Arabidopsis thaliana: one gene and its partners. The protein of the gene in region 3 interacts with the protein of the main gene of each other region in a pairwise test. Each region holds a gene or a part of one and is shown on either strand. Other genes may lie near its edges.

Region 1 (3,137 bases), on a different chromosome or scaffold from region 3:
AAAACATTAAATCTGGCGTGTTGCGGATTCGTGACGGATGTAGCCATCTCTGCTGTAGCTCAGTCTTGCCGGAATCTAGGGACTTTAAAGTTAGAGTCTTGTCATTTGATAACTGAGAAAGGTCTTCAATCGCTTGGATGTTACTCCATGCTTGTTCAAGAACTTGATCTTACTGACTGTTATGGTGTAAATGACAGAGGTAATAGAAAGATATATGTGAACTCAAACCTCCGTTTGTGTTTTAGATATTGTCATCTTTGGTATCTTACGGTTTTTTGTTCCGTTGGGACCGCAGGGCTAGAATATATCTCGAAGTGTTCGAATCTTCAAAGATTGAAACTTGGACTCTGCACAAATATCTCAGACAAAGGGATTTTCCATATTGGTTCCAAATGTTCGAAGCTTCTAGAACTTGATCTATACCGGTACACTTTCTTGGTGGATTCTTGATGAAAAATGTGCAAGACATGTTTCGTTTTCTTACTGATTTCTGGTTTTTGAGTGCAGCTGTGCCGGTTTTGGAGATGATGGTTTAGCAGCTTTATCTCGAGGTTGCAAGAGCTTGAACCGACTCATTCTATCATACTGCTGTGAACTAACTGACACCGGGGTTGAACAAATCCGGCAGCTAGAACTTCTAAGTCACCTCGAACTTCGAGGGCTAAAGAATATAACCGGTGTTGGTTTAGCAGCCATTGCGTCCGGCTGCAAGAAATTGGGTTACTTGGACGTTAAACTCTGCGAGAATATTGATGATTCGGGTTTTTGGGCGCTCGCTTACTTCTCGAAAAACCTACGACAGGTACAAAAAATAACATTTATAGATGGAGATCTGGAAGCATCTATTGGAAACATGTTTGATTCTTGTGTTGTGTGTTTTGTTTGGCAGATAAACTTGTGCAATTGCTCGGTGTCTGATACGGCTCTATGCATGTTGATGAGCAATCTGAGTCGGGTTCAAGACGTTGACTTAGTTCATCTGAGCCGTGTGACTGTAGAAGGGTTTGAGTTTGCTCTAAGAGCCTGTTGCAATAGGCTCAAGAAGCTTAAACTTCTCGCACCTCTCAGATTCTTGCTCTCATCGGAATTGCTCGAGACGCTTCATGCTCGTGGTTGCCGCATTAGATGGGACTGAAAACATAAAGAACAACGCGGTTTCTTGTGTTGGTTAGTTTATACTGTTGTAGGTTTTTGATGTTTATAATCTCAATGTTAAAAATCAGTGAAACTTTAGTAGCGGTTTGTTTTGGATCCATATAAATGAATCGGTTTAAGTGAATTGCTGCGGTAAAATATTTTGCTATAACCGGTAAAAAAGATCGGACAACGCTTAAGTAATGATTTCTAGTTAGAAAGTTGTTGATGTGTAATAGATCTATGTGATGAACTGATGATCATATGTTTTTGAAGTCTAACAGAAAGCTAAACCAATCAGATGCAACATGTAACTCCTTTGTGTTCGAGCAATGATATGAATTATGCTTTCACATTTAACATTTGAAAACATATTTTTTAACTAAATAATTCAAAATAAGTTTTGTACAGCAAAAAATTATCTTGCAATTTTATAGAGAAAATATAGTTTTGTATTTACTTTATTTCTTTTTTCTAACACTATTAATTGGTATAATATATACACTTTAAGTAAAAATAAATCACTTTCTTTTTTCTTCTTATAATAATAACCAAATAATGTTAGTCAAACAAATAATGTTAATATCATTAAATATTCTTAACAATATACTAAATGCGTTAAGATTCATTGTTGTAAAAGTTTACCTGCTTACTATCCCACCATATCTAATCTATGCTTAAGCTTTTCCTTTATATATGCAAATCTTCAAATAAAAAAATAACAAGCCTAGAACACTAGAAACTTCAAAAAAGAAAAAAATCTTATGGAGAACAACAACGGCAACAACCAGCTGCCACCGAAAGGTAACGAGCAACTGAAGAGTTTCTGGTCAAAAGAGATGGAAGGTAACTTAGATTTCAAAAATCACGACCTTCCTATAACTCGTATCAAGAAGATTATGAAGTATGATCCGGATGTGACTATGATAGCTAGTGAGGCTCCAATCCTCCTCTCGAAAGCATGTGAGATGTTTATCATGGATCTCACGATGCGTTCGTGGCTCCATGCTCAGGAAAGCAAACGAGTCACGCTACAGAAATCTAATGTCGATGCCGCAGTGGCTCAAACTGTTATCTTTGATTTCTTGCTTGATGATGACATTGAGGTAAAGAGAGAGTCTGTTGCCGCCGCTGCTGATCCTGTGGCCATGCCACCTATTGACGATGGAGAGCTGCCTCCAGGAATGGTAATTGGAACTCCTGTTTGTTGTAGTCTTGGAATCCACCAACCACAACCACAAATGCAGGCATGGCCTGGAGCTTGGACCTCGGTGTCTGGTGAGGAGGAAGAAGCGCGTGGGAAAAAAGGAGGTGACGACGGAAACTAATAAGTGGAATACGTTTTAGGGTATTTTCAAGGGAATATGTAGTAAATAGTCATGGATCTAATTTTTTTAAAGAAATAGCCATGAGATACAATGTTCTGTCGGAAACACATGTATTATTACATGTATAACCTTAGACATTGAGGGGACAATACACTATTTGGGAGCGTGATGATTCTCGGTTTGAAATTTGAAATATTCAGAAGCTAACATTATATTCATTCTCTCGCACCAAAAGTAATATATGAGAAAATAAAAATCTTGTTTTTTCTTCACACCGCAAAATATCCTCCCAAAATCTAGCGCCGTCGTTGGCGATTGCGTTCACCGTCGGTTACTCTCATCTTCTTCAATCAAGCCCAGAACTTGATTGTCTCCTTGAAACCTTCTTCTCGTTCTTGTCGCCGTTAGCAATCCAAGTATTAATTTCTGATCCTCCCCTTGCCGACGAATCTGGTAAGGTAAGCCATTGATTTTCGTTTATTTATTGCCGATCTTCTTCTATTTCTTCCTCTTTATACTTCAATTGCATAGAAATTAACGATTGTGGCCAGATCTAAAGTTTGGTTCTTTTTCCCCTCTATCTCTATCTTCTTCTATGTCTTCCCATGTATACTTACATAAGTATCCTGCATAGGGTTCTCACCGTTTGTGTCCAGATCTAAGTTTTGATTTTTT
Region 2 (5,828 bases), on a different chromosome or scaffold from region 3:
AGTATACCTCTCAAGGAACTGATTGAGAGGCATTGTGGAGGTGTTAGGGGTGGATGGGACAATCTACTTGCTATCATCCCTGGTGGTTCATCTGTTCCTCTGATCCCTAAGAACATTTGCGAGGATGTGCTGATGGATTTCGATGCGCTCAAGGCTGTCCAATCAGGGTTAGGAACTGCAGCAGTCATTGTGATGGATAAATCAACCGATGTTGTGGATGCAATTGCAAGGCTCTCTTACTTCTACAAGCATGAAAGCTGTGGGCAGTGCACTCCTTGCAGAGAGGGAACAGGTTGGCTTTGGATGATCATGGAGAGAATGAAAGTTGGCAATGCAAAGCTGGAAGAGATTGATATGCTGCAGGAGGTAACCAAACAGATCGAAGGACACACAATCTGTGCATTGGGTGATGCAGCTGCATGGCCTGTGCAAGGTCTGATAAGACACTTTAGGCCAGAGCTCGAGAGAAGGATCAGGGAACGCGCTGAAAGGGAGTTGCTACAGGCTGCTGCTTAAGTACCTTGTTAACCAGAGGTTTGCATCTCCAGTCCTTGCTCTTTTAATCTTCTGTTGCAAACTTAAAAGCTGAGGTCTAGAGTTTACGCAGCCTTTTAGAATGTATTTGTGACAAGGTAGACTGCTCTGTATCTAATTTCTTTGGGCATTTCAAGAACTTGAGCCGTAATGAACAGTTAGTTTCCGTAACTATCTTTCTGCTCTATCCCTGTCTTACAAAATTGATGTTTTTGCAGGGAGTTTGCTATTATTCTCCATGGAAATAAAATCTGAATGAACAACTAGTAACGGTTTTGGGATGCAAAGCTACTTCAGAAGGAGAAGAAGGTAATGTAATTTGTTTGAATGGTTAATGTTAAAACTCTCTTAAAGTTGTATCAGAAAGAGCGCGATTTGCTCTTTTGCATTACTCTACTTTCTTTATTGTTTGCTTGTTATGTTTATTCGAGTATGAAAGCACATTTTGGGAACAACCAAAGAAACCCTTTTCATGTTTGAAATAAAGAATGCTCCTTTTTGGGTTTATAAGTAGTTCACATAGCAAATAAATTATAAATCAATGTTTCTTTTTGGCATTTTCTGAAAAATATCTCTAGGATATAAATTGGTATATCATTGTTCTGTATACAACTTGATATGATAGTCCAAAATTAGTTTTTTTGGATAATGTATAACCAAAATGTGATTAGTCCCAACTTGATTTCGTAAAATCAAACAAAGTAGAAATCATCTTAAAACTATAAACTAGAAATTTCTAAATGGAATAACTTAAAGAATAAAATGAAATGGAAGTGATATATATATTCGCATTGAAATGGAGAAAGAGAGAAAAAGGAAAAGAGATAAATGAAGGCAAGGAAGACCTGTGAGGGTGATGGGGACCGGTCTGATTGGATATTATTTTTGGAGGATATTTATGGATAAGACGTCAACATCTTCCCTAACTTCTTTGTCCACCTCTCCCACCTTTTTCCCCCCTTTTCCAATTTCTTTACTTAATCGATAGAACTACTGAATCAACAAGTTGTTGTATGATGAAATTACATAATCACATATTTGCATAACTCGGAAAGTCGTCATATAGGCAATTAGCATCTTTGTTGTTTTCGATTTTCGATATGAGCTTAAGTTTGAACAATGTTTACAAATAGTTTGATATAGTATTTCATTGCCTTTTATAATCACCGTACAAATAATTATTATTCATCAATGATTGCCTCCCCAAATGTCACCAAAAGAAAAATCTAGTCACATGCGAAAGCATTATGAAAGTGAAAAAAGAAAAAACTGATATGAAATTACCAACGATGAGGAGTAGCAGTAATAAAATACATATGGCATAATTTGGTCAACAAGGAAATTCCAATATGAATTGGAAGTGTAACAAATAATAAAAGAGTCAACAATACCAAAAATAACAACAGCGGACTTGAGCTGTGAAAACTGTTGCTTATGGTTTTTATTCACTGTTTCTTTGTTTTGAACTTCCCCTTCCTTTAACAATGGCGTTTTGACCCCTCCCTATCTCTCTCTCTCTCTCTCTCAGTCTTCTGGGTTTTTCCTATTCCTCTTTCTCTCTCTCTCCTTCAAGTTGCTGCAATCCCTTGAAAACCCAATAAACCCCCAATTTTCCATTTCTCATAAAGTTCACATTTTTCCTTCTTCTTCTTCTGCCAATTCTCTGATTCCCTCGTTTCAATCTCCGTTTTGCTTTGCCTATCAGATAAATTTCTTCTTGCTTTCCTTTCTATCTCATAACGATAAGTTGAATTAATCTTTGCGTCTTAGTTCATCAGTAGAGAGAGTAGGGTTTTTTCCGCTTATTTTTAGGGAATTTCATTTTGTTGGAGGTGAGAATCTCTATTCGAGTCCCCAAGATTCTCTTTATATCCCTAGTTTAGTTGTATGGTTGGGTTTTGATTGGAATATCAAGGGGTAGTTTTTAGCTAGGTTCACTGATACTTGGAAGATCTGAGTTCTTTGGGATTCTGTTAAGTTTGTGGAGATCTAAAAGACACGAAATTTGTAGAAATCTGGTTGATATCCCAGACTTTTAGAGGGATTAGGGTAGATTCTATAGAATTTGAGGCGGGTTTGATTGGAATTATGACGGTGGAGGAAGTTAGTGATGGTTCTGTGTGGAGTAGGGAGGATGATATTGCCTTTGAGAGAGCTCTAGCCAATAATACCGATGAATCAGAGGAACGGTGGGAGAAGATTGCTGCAGACGTTCCAGGCAAAAGTGTTGAACAGATTAAAGAACATTACGAGCTTTTAGTTGAAGATGTTACTAGGATTGAATCAGGATGTGTGCCTCTTCCTGCCTATGGGTCTCCTGAAGGATCGAATGGCCATGCTGGTGATGAAGGAGCAAGTAGTAAGAAAGGAGGTAACAGTCATGCGGGAGAGTCTAACCAAGCAGGTAAATCAAAGTCCGATCAAGAACGACGAAAGGGTATCGCGTGGACAGAAGATGAGCACAGGTGAACTTTGTTTATTTTTGCTGCTAATCAGTTTCTGATTCTTCTTATTCTTTTATGATTCTTTCCAAATTATGTTTGTTCTGTGCTCCATGTCTTCATTGTGTTCTAGAACATTAATATTATTTCTCTTAAGTGACAATTTTGGTACTCTTGGGTGTCTAATTCTGTGAACCTTTAAGACATCAAGAGTTTTCAAAGTCATACTGTAGTTAGAAGCAATACCTTCACTGGAACTTTTAGGTCCTTGGTCTCCTATCTGATACTTTAAATTAAAAAAGGATGAATTGAGTTTTTTTTAGGGGGCACTGACCCGAGGTTACTCTAGAGGATGCTTGAAAGAAAAGTAGAGATTTCTTGAAGTGGTTTTAGTTTCGTGATTGTTTTAAAAGTCTCAGATGTTATTGGAATTATAACTTGGCATGGGACAGAGAAAGCTGTTCTCATAAATTCGCTTTACCTCCCTGTCCTAGTTGCTATATCATTACATCCACCATGTTAGAGATGATGGAGAGATGCTATCTAACCCCCGGGACCATTTTGACCATCTTTTTCCACCACTTGTTGAAGCTAGATGCTGTTTTACATGGTGAAACAGTCCATCCAACCTCTGTTATTGGAGGAACCCCACCTTCCTTTTAGAAAGAGACAAAAAAATCTTACTTTGAAGTTTAGTCTTCATTTTTCTCTCTTGAAGATGCAAGTGGTTTTGGGACCTTATTAGGGTAGATAAGGCGTAAAAACTAGAGTTAAGTATATAATGGTTATATTAGTGGCATATAATTAGTTACTGGACTGTTTTCTCACTTGCCAAAGATATGGGAAACTGATGTAACAGTAAAATCTATCTTTGTTGATTGAATGTTTTGCTGGGAGAGTTAAAAAAAATGCTTATCTGTCTGATTGAAACCTTTAAAAGAGATTCTTACACCATTTTTATAAACTTGTGTTTTCGCCATTATCTTGATCTACTCCCGTGTCATCTTGATAATTTGGTGGTTTACATGTGCTTTTTCGAGAAATTGGATTTTGGCGGTGATAGAAGAACCTCCTGGACAAGAAATCACGAGGTTCATTTTCAAATACGTTGTACGGGTGTTTAGAAATGTCTTTCCTGCTTAGTTAGGAGATTAAAATCCAGTGGAGAAGCAATTTAGAAGTAGGGTTCTGTATACTTGTGTGGCATTCTATCTGCAGATTAGCTGTTGAGGTAGATGCAAGACAAGACCTTACTGTGTTACCTGCAATTGGTTTTAGACTGTTTCCGTTTAGCAGTGGTTTGTGTGTTTTCATCTTTGAGACTATGGCCTGGAAGTTTCTGCCCTTTTGGTTATGCAGCGATTCTAATGAGCTGTTGTCTGTCTTTTCTATGTTACAGGTTATTTCTTCTTGGTTTGGATAAGTACGGGAAAGGTGATTGGCGTAGCATTTCTCGCAACTTTGTAGTAACAAGAACACCGACCCAAGTTGCGAGCCATGCTCAAAAGTATTTCATTCGTCTAAATTCAATGAACAAAGACAGAAGGCGATCAAGCATTCACGACATCACTAGTGTTGGCAACGCAGATGTCTCAACGCCACAAGGACCAATCACTGGTCAGAACAACAGCAATAACAACAACAACAACAACAACAACAACAGTTCTCCTGCTGTTGCTGGAGGAGGAAACAAATCAGCCAAGCAAGCCGTCTCTCAAGCACCACCTGGACCTCCTATGTATGGAACACCCGCCATAGGTCAGCCAGCAGTTGGAACACCAGTGAACCTCCCAGCTCCACCTCACATGGCTTATGGAGTTCATGCGGCTCCAGTCCCTGGCTCAGTGGTTCCTGGTGCAGCAATGAACATTGGTCAAATGCCGTACACCATGCCGCGTACACCAACGGCTCATAGGTAACTCGAAAGCACCTTTGCTGTCATAGTGCACTTTGTTTTTAGGTGTAAGAAAGAAGATGTGTAAAGGATTTAGTGAATATTCAAGCTTGTTCCTTGAGTGAGTTTTTTTTATTACTTAGTTTGTGGGGATTTTGTATGAGGTCCGAATAAGATATGAAGATGACATGATTAGTTTCCAGACTCGAGAAGCAAAAATACTCCTGTTTGTATGTGAACACAATAAAGCCTCTGTTATGAGACTTACAACAAAGCAACATTGTATATCTTGTTCTCACATTCAACAATCTCTTTGAATTATCAACTGCAACGTGCAATTCCTTATTTTGAAGTTGTAACTCATTTTGGATCTTGTATAATGATATATACTGTGACAGAAAATTCGTAGTTGAAGAAAAACAGAAGCAGATTACAAAGAATAACATAAGAAATACACAGATATTTTATAGCAAGCACACCCTCTATTAATCACATTTAGGACACATATGATATGCACCTGACATGGAATTTCAAAAGGAATAGTGAAAACCAGTGATAATATCGTCTCAATCCATGTCAGCTTTCTTCAACTATTCCGTCTCATCTCTTCGTGTTCGATCTACCTCGATATCCAACTAGTCTTCTTACTCAATGTGTACCAACGTTCATTTGATTGAACATAGGAATGTAAAGACACCAAAATCACATACAGTTTCAAAAGATTCAGTCATTGTTATTGGCAAAGTGAACAAAACATCTACTTTCATATGCATAGTTGTTCAGGCTGAAGCAAAGAATCAAAGCGACTCTTTTCCAGTTTCATTCTCCTGAAAATCTCCTCAAGAACCTGATAGATCTCATAAGATCTTGGGTGTGATTTATCTTCCACAGTAAATTTATGAACATCAACTCCAACTTCCACAAAATAGCTATATCCAGCAGCCTTTGTCATCGTTTCC
Region 3 (4,574 bases):
TAGATCCAAGCCATTAGTAACCTCTCTATGGCCATAAGTGACCTTAAGAGAGACCAACCTCGTGAAAGGATCAAGAACATCTCCAACAACACTGCCGACCACAAGAGGATCTCTACGACTTAAAGACATATTTATCTTGGATCTCAAGTATCTCAATCAAATGTTTTGCTTCTTACCTTATGAACCCTTACTTGCTATTCTTTATATAACGTTTTGGGAATTGCAATAATTAGCTATTTAGCTTTATTCTCTCCAATGAAATCATTACCAGGGTCTTTTCGTGTATAGTTTCGAGAATCTACAACTCGTTCAACGTACGTATATCACTTATAATTCATGTTTTTTTTTTCTTTCCTTTTTTCTAAATTTATAGTATTCTTATTCCAAAACCCACCAGTATAAAACAGAAATAATCATATTCCAAATTATACATCATCCACTTGTTTCTTGCTAGCCACTAGTATGTAATTTATTCTGACTTATCATTGTAACTTCATGAACTATTTAAAATAATGTCACAAGCATATAATATGCTGCATATTTGCGTACGTCACGCATTTTGCGTCACATGTCACTCATTTAAATAGTTAAGGACACTACATTACACCGATTATGTATGATGTTAATGCATTTTAGAATAACTCCTTCAACCTAAACCATCATATAAAAGTATATATGCTCCAGATAAATTGACGCCATAATTGTTCACATATCTGGTTGGTGTGTACATACGTACTAGACTCTTTTTTTTCTTTTCTTAATGTAGTACTAAACTTAATTAATACCATCAAAAATATCAATTTAACAAAACAAACCAGTAAAACTTTTAAAACAATGGAGTAAATCAAATAAAACAAGTAAATTAACAAATAGACACAAGGTAACAGAAGTATAATAACGACAGAAAAGTGAACAATTGGCCAAAAAATTCGTTTTCAAACGTGATTTCAAAATTGTCTCCAAATCTTAAATGTTGATAAAGTAATTTTTTTAAAATTCATTATACCTTTCAAAAACAAGTGTATTACCTAAAAGCTCAACCGTGTATTCTTACACTCCAAACAAATTTAGTTCCCCAAGTTTGGAAGACAAAAATTTCTAAGAAATTTCTGACAAAACACATGAGAAATAAACCGATAAAGACTTCTAAAAACTATTGCAGACCAGTTTCATTTGCTGACCACAAAAAGTCATGAGAATACAATTAGCTCAGTGATTCTTGATATTTCTGGTACCTAACAAAAAGAAAAGTGTGTGAGGTTAGATGGCTATGATTTTTGCTCTCCAATTTATTGTCCATTTCCCCAATTTGTAATATGAAATGCGCAAATTACTCTTCTTCCGATATGAATAAGCAAACGAAAACATACGTGGGACGTTATGTTCAGAACATTTGATTAAAGTTTATATGCGATTTTCATTTATTTATTATGAATTTTTTGTTTGGCAGCATGTACGATTTTTCATTTAACACACAAATATTATAGAATTTTCATTGGTTCAAAGGGGTAGACAAAAAATAATTTAATATTATTACACCATTTGCAGAAAATTAGAAAATATATTTTTACCCATAATTAATTGATCTATGGACGTATGCTTGGCATAAAAATTCATATTTAATTAGCAGAAGCCAATCGCTGCGTTTGTATATACGCGTTTATGACCGAGAAAAAAACCCTTACGCGTCATGTAAAAAAAAAAGAAGCGTAAATTACGAAAAACAGAGAGATAAATCCGGGCATTGAGATTTTGGAGATAGAGAGAGAGAAAAATCGAAATCTATTGTCTATCTCCTCAATTTGGATTGGATTTTCTGCATATCATCGCTCTAGCTTTCGCGGGTTTTGGATTCGATTCCTTACCCTTCTCCAATCGGTAAGAACAAGCTCCAAAGTTTGTTCCTTTTTTTCAATTTTCGCCAATTCTGTAATCTCATCATTGTCCTTGTTTGTTTGTTTGATTCAACACACAATTCTTGTTTTGATTTGGATGCAGAAGTTTTTGGCTTTGAATTGGATTTGGGTTTCGTTCCAAAATCAGCTCTTTTTGTTAATCAGGTGAGTTTTTAGGTATTTGAATCTCCAATTGCTTCCTTGCAATGACTAAGTATTGTGAAATGTTTAGGGTTTCATCTGTGTGGGTCTTGTTTTGAAGCAATTTGTGTGTGTTTGGATGAAAGTAGCAGATATGCAGGACCAGCTGGTGTGTCATGGTTGTAGGAATTTATTGATGTATCCTAGAGGAGCATCTAATGTGCGTTGTGCGTTATGTAACACTATCAACATGGTTCCTCCTCCTCCTCCACCTCACGGTATCGATTTCTTTGTTGAATTTGAATTGAGGATGAGGTTAATATGCTCTGCAATTGTATTATAACTTGGGTTCTGATTCTGAATACAGACATGGCACACATTATATGTGGTGGTTGTAGAACAATGCTTATGTATACGCGTGGGGCTAGTAGCGTAAGATGCTCTTGCTGTCAAACTACGAACCTTGTGCCAGGTATATTAATAATATCGTGACATCCATATCAATCCTTTTAAAGACCATGTATTATATTGCTTTATAAGGTCTTTTAGTCCTTTAGAATCTTCTTTCACACTTTTGTTTGATAACATTGTTCTGTGGAGATGATGCTTACGTAACGTATTTCCACTTTTCCCAAAGATGTATATGAATCTGAATTCTGAAAATATCTGGGATTTGTAAAGCAGCTGAAAGTACTTAAAACAAAGCTTTTAGATGGTCCCGGTGGACTAGGTAACTACTTGTTAGAGCTAGTAGGGTTTATTATTGTTTTGTTTGATCTACCATTAGATTCTTATCTTTAATTAGCGTCTAAGCTGTTGTCATTTAGCTGTATGATTATCATTTATCCATGACTGCTTAAGAACATTGCTGATTACTTCGTTCATTAGTATTTCTTGGATTTTTCTAGCATTAACATTGCTTGTTTTCTGAATCTGTGCGTGTCTTTTTTGAAATCGACAGCGCACTCCAATCAGGTTGCCCATGCTCCTTCCAGTCAGGTTGCGCAGATCAATTGTGGGCATTGTCGGACGACCCTCATGTATCCTTACGGTGCATCATCCGTCAAATGCGCTGTTTGTCAATTCGTAACTAACGTTAATGTGATTATTCCTATCTATTAAGCCACCTCTGCATGGTTGAGTTAAGTATAGAGATCTTTCTGTTGGAAATTTTCATTTCTGATTCATTTTGCATCCTTAGATGAGCAATGGAAGGGTACCTCTCCCAACTAACCGGCCAAATGGAACAGCTTGTCCCCCCTCTACATCAACTGTGAGTTATCAAATTATGAATTTGTAATAGTTCTGTATATTCTTATGGAACTGGTACTTACTCTGTTCATCGATTTTTCATTTTACCAACAGTCAACACCACCCTCTCAGACCCAAACCGTTGTTGTAGAAAACCCCATGTCCGTTGATGAAAGCGGAAAGTTGGTGAGTATTTCTATCACCTGTGTTCTTCTTCTTATTTACCACATTAGAGGAAGATATGACAAAGTGACTGAAACACACAAATTGCAGGTGAGCAATGTTGTTGTTGGAGTGACAACTGACAAAAAGTAATCAAGAATGAGTGAGATCTTAAAGATCAAATCCAAATTCTTCCTCTATTCCTGCGTTTGGTTTGTGCATATTACATACGCGGAAAAACTGTATGTTATATATCTCTTGACTCCTTTTTAACCCAAGAGAAAAAGCTTATCAGAATCTCTTGTTACTGCATTATTGGGGTTTATTCAAAGTTGAAGACACAAGGTTTTTGCTCGAATAATTTGGCATTCTTTTGCTCCATGGAACTTGACCTTCTCTTCTGTTTGTTGACTTCTAAAACTCCATCGGCCCTTGTGGCATTGTTAATGTATGTATGAATATAATCTGATACACCAACCAATCATTAAGATTTGGGTTTGAAATCTGTCTCTTCCGTGGATGAGATATGCTACATGTCACAAGAACTGGTCTTAGCTTTGGTAGATAAGACTTGTCTTAGAGCAAGTCTTGAAATCTGGAAATCTATTTTGCAGTAATCTTGTCACAACAACCATAACCTAATCAGTCAGTACCCTCCAAGAACATTAAAGTTAGATGATCCGACAAAACCTCTCAACAAGACCAAACTCTTTCCATATAAATACTCTTTAACACTGACACAAAGTTTCATCACTTTCTCTTGATCACTCACTGCATCAACAATGGCCAGAGAGAAGATTGTGGTGGCTGGTGGTACCACAAAGAGCTGGAAACTACTCTTGGGGCTGAGAATATTTGCATTCATGGCTACTTTAGCTGCAGCCATTGTAATGTCACTAAACAAAGAGACAAAGACCTTGGTTGTGGCCACCATTGGTACTGTTCCTATTAAAGCCACTTTAACCGCTAAGTTTCAGCACACACCGGCTTTTGTGTAAGCGAGTAAAACCCTATACGAAATCGATTCGATACATATTGAAAGCAAAATGTTTTTGAGTTATTAACATTGATTCTTGGTTTTACAGGTTCTTTGTTATAGCTAATGTAATGGTGAGCTTCCACAAC

The links.
Region 1: the proteins of LSD1 (region 3) and NF-YC8 interact in binary tests that used the Arabidopsis thaliana proteins (3 or more experiments, as listed by UniProt).
Region 2: the proteins of LSD1 (region 3) and AT5G08520 interact in binary tests that used the Arabidopsis thaliana proteins (3 or more experiments, as listed by UniProt).

The regions. Positions count from the first base shown.
Region 1 is NC_003076.8:9,940,061-9,943,197, reverse strand, and holds NF-YC8 (nuclear factor Y, subunit C8), read left to right. Parts: upstream 1-1,750; 5' UTR 1,751-1,898; coding exon 1,899-2,462; 3' UTR 2,463-2,529; downstream 2,530-3,137. Other genes in the region: AT5G27920 (F-box family protein), read left to right, coding at 1-199, 296-425, 508-802, 890-1,135. UniProt on the Arabidopsis thaliana protein: Stimulates the transcription of various genes by recognizing and binding to a CCAAT motif in promoters.
Region 2 is NC_003076.8:2,754,536-2,760,363, reverse strand, and holds AT5G08520 (Duplicated homeodomain-like superfamily protein), read left to right. Parts: upstream 1-1,823; 5' UTR 1,824-2,622; coding exon 2,623-2,999; intron 3,000-4,374; coding exon 4,375-4,894; 3' UTR 4,895-5,220; downstream 5,221-5,828. Other genes in the region: CI51 (51 kDa subunit of complex I), read left to right, coding at 1-516; AT5G08510 (Pentatricopeptide repeat (PPR) superfamily protein), read right to left, coding at 5,633-5,828. UniProt on the Arabidopsis thaliana protein: Transcription activator that coordinates abscisic acid (ABA) biosynthesis and signaling-related genes via binding to the specific promoter motif 5'-(A/T)AACCAT-3'. Represses ABA-mediated salt (e.g. NaCl and KCl) stress tolerance.
Region 3 is NC_003075.7:11,002,837-11,007,410, forward strand, and holds LSD1 (LSD1 zinc finger family protein), read left to right. Parts: upstream 1-1,680; 5' UTR 1,681-1,878; intron 1,879-1,998; 5' UTR 1,999-2,060; exon of another isoform or gene 2,061-2,175; coding exon of another isoform or gene 2,176-2,190; coding exon 2,191-2,314; intron 2,315-2,403; coding exon 2,404-2,508; intron 2,509-2,593; coding exon 2,594-2,625; intron 2,626-2,720; coding exon 2,721-2,766; intron 2,767-2,997; coding exon 2,998-3,137; coding exon of another isoform or gene 3,138-3,158; exon of another isoform or gene 3,159-3,237; coding exon 3,238-3,309; intron 3,310-3,401; coding exon 3,402-3,473; intron 3,474-3,560; coding exon 3,561-3,602; 3' UTR 3,603-3,952; downstream 3,953-4,574. Other genes in the region: TSF (PEBP (phosphatidylethanolamine-binding protein) family protein), read right to left, coding at 1-129; AT4G20390 (Uncharacterized protein family (UPF0497)), read left to right, coding at 4,232-4,443, 4,535-4,574.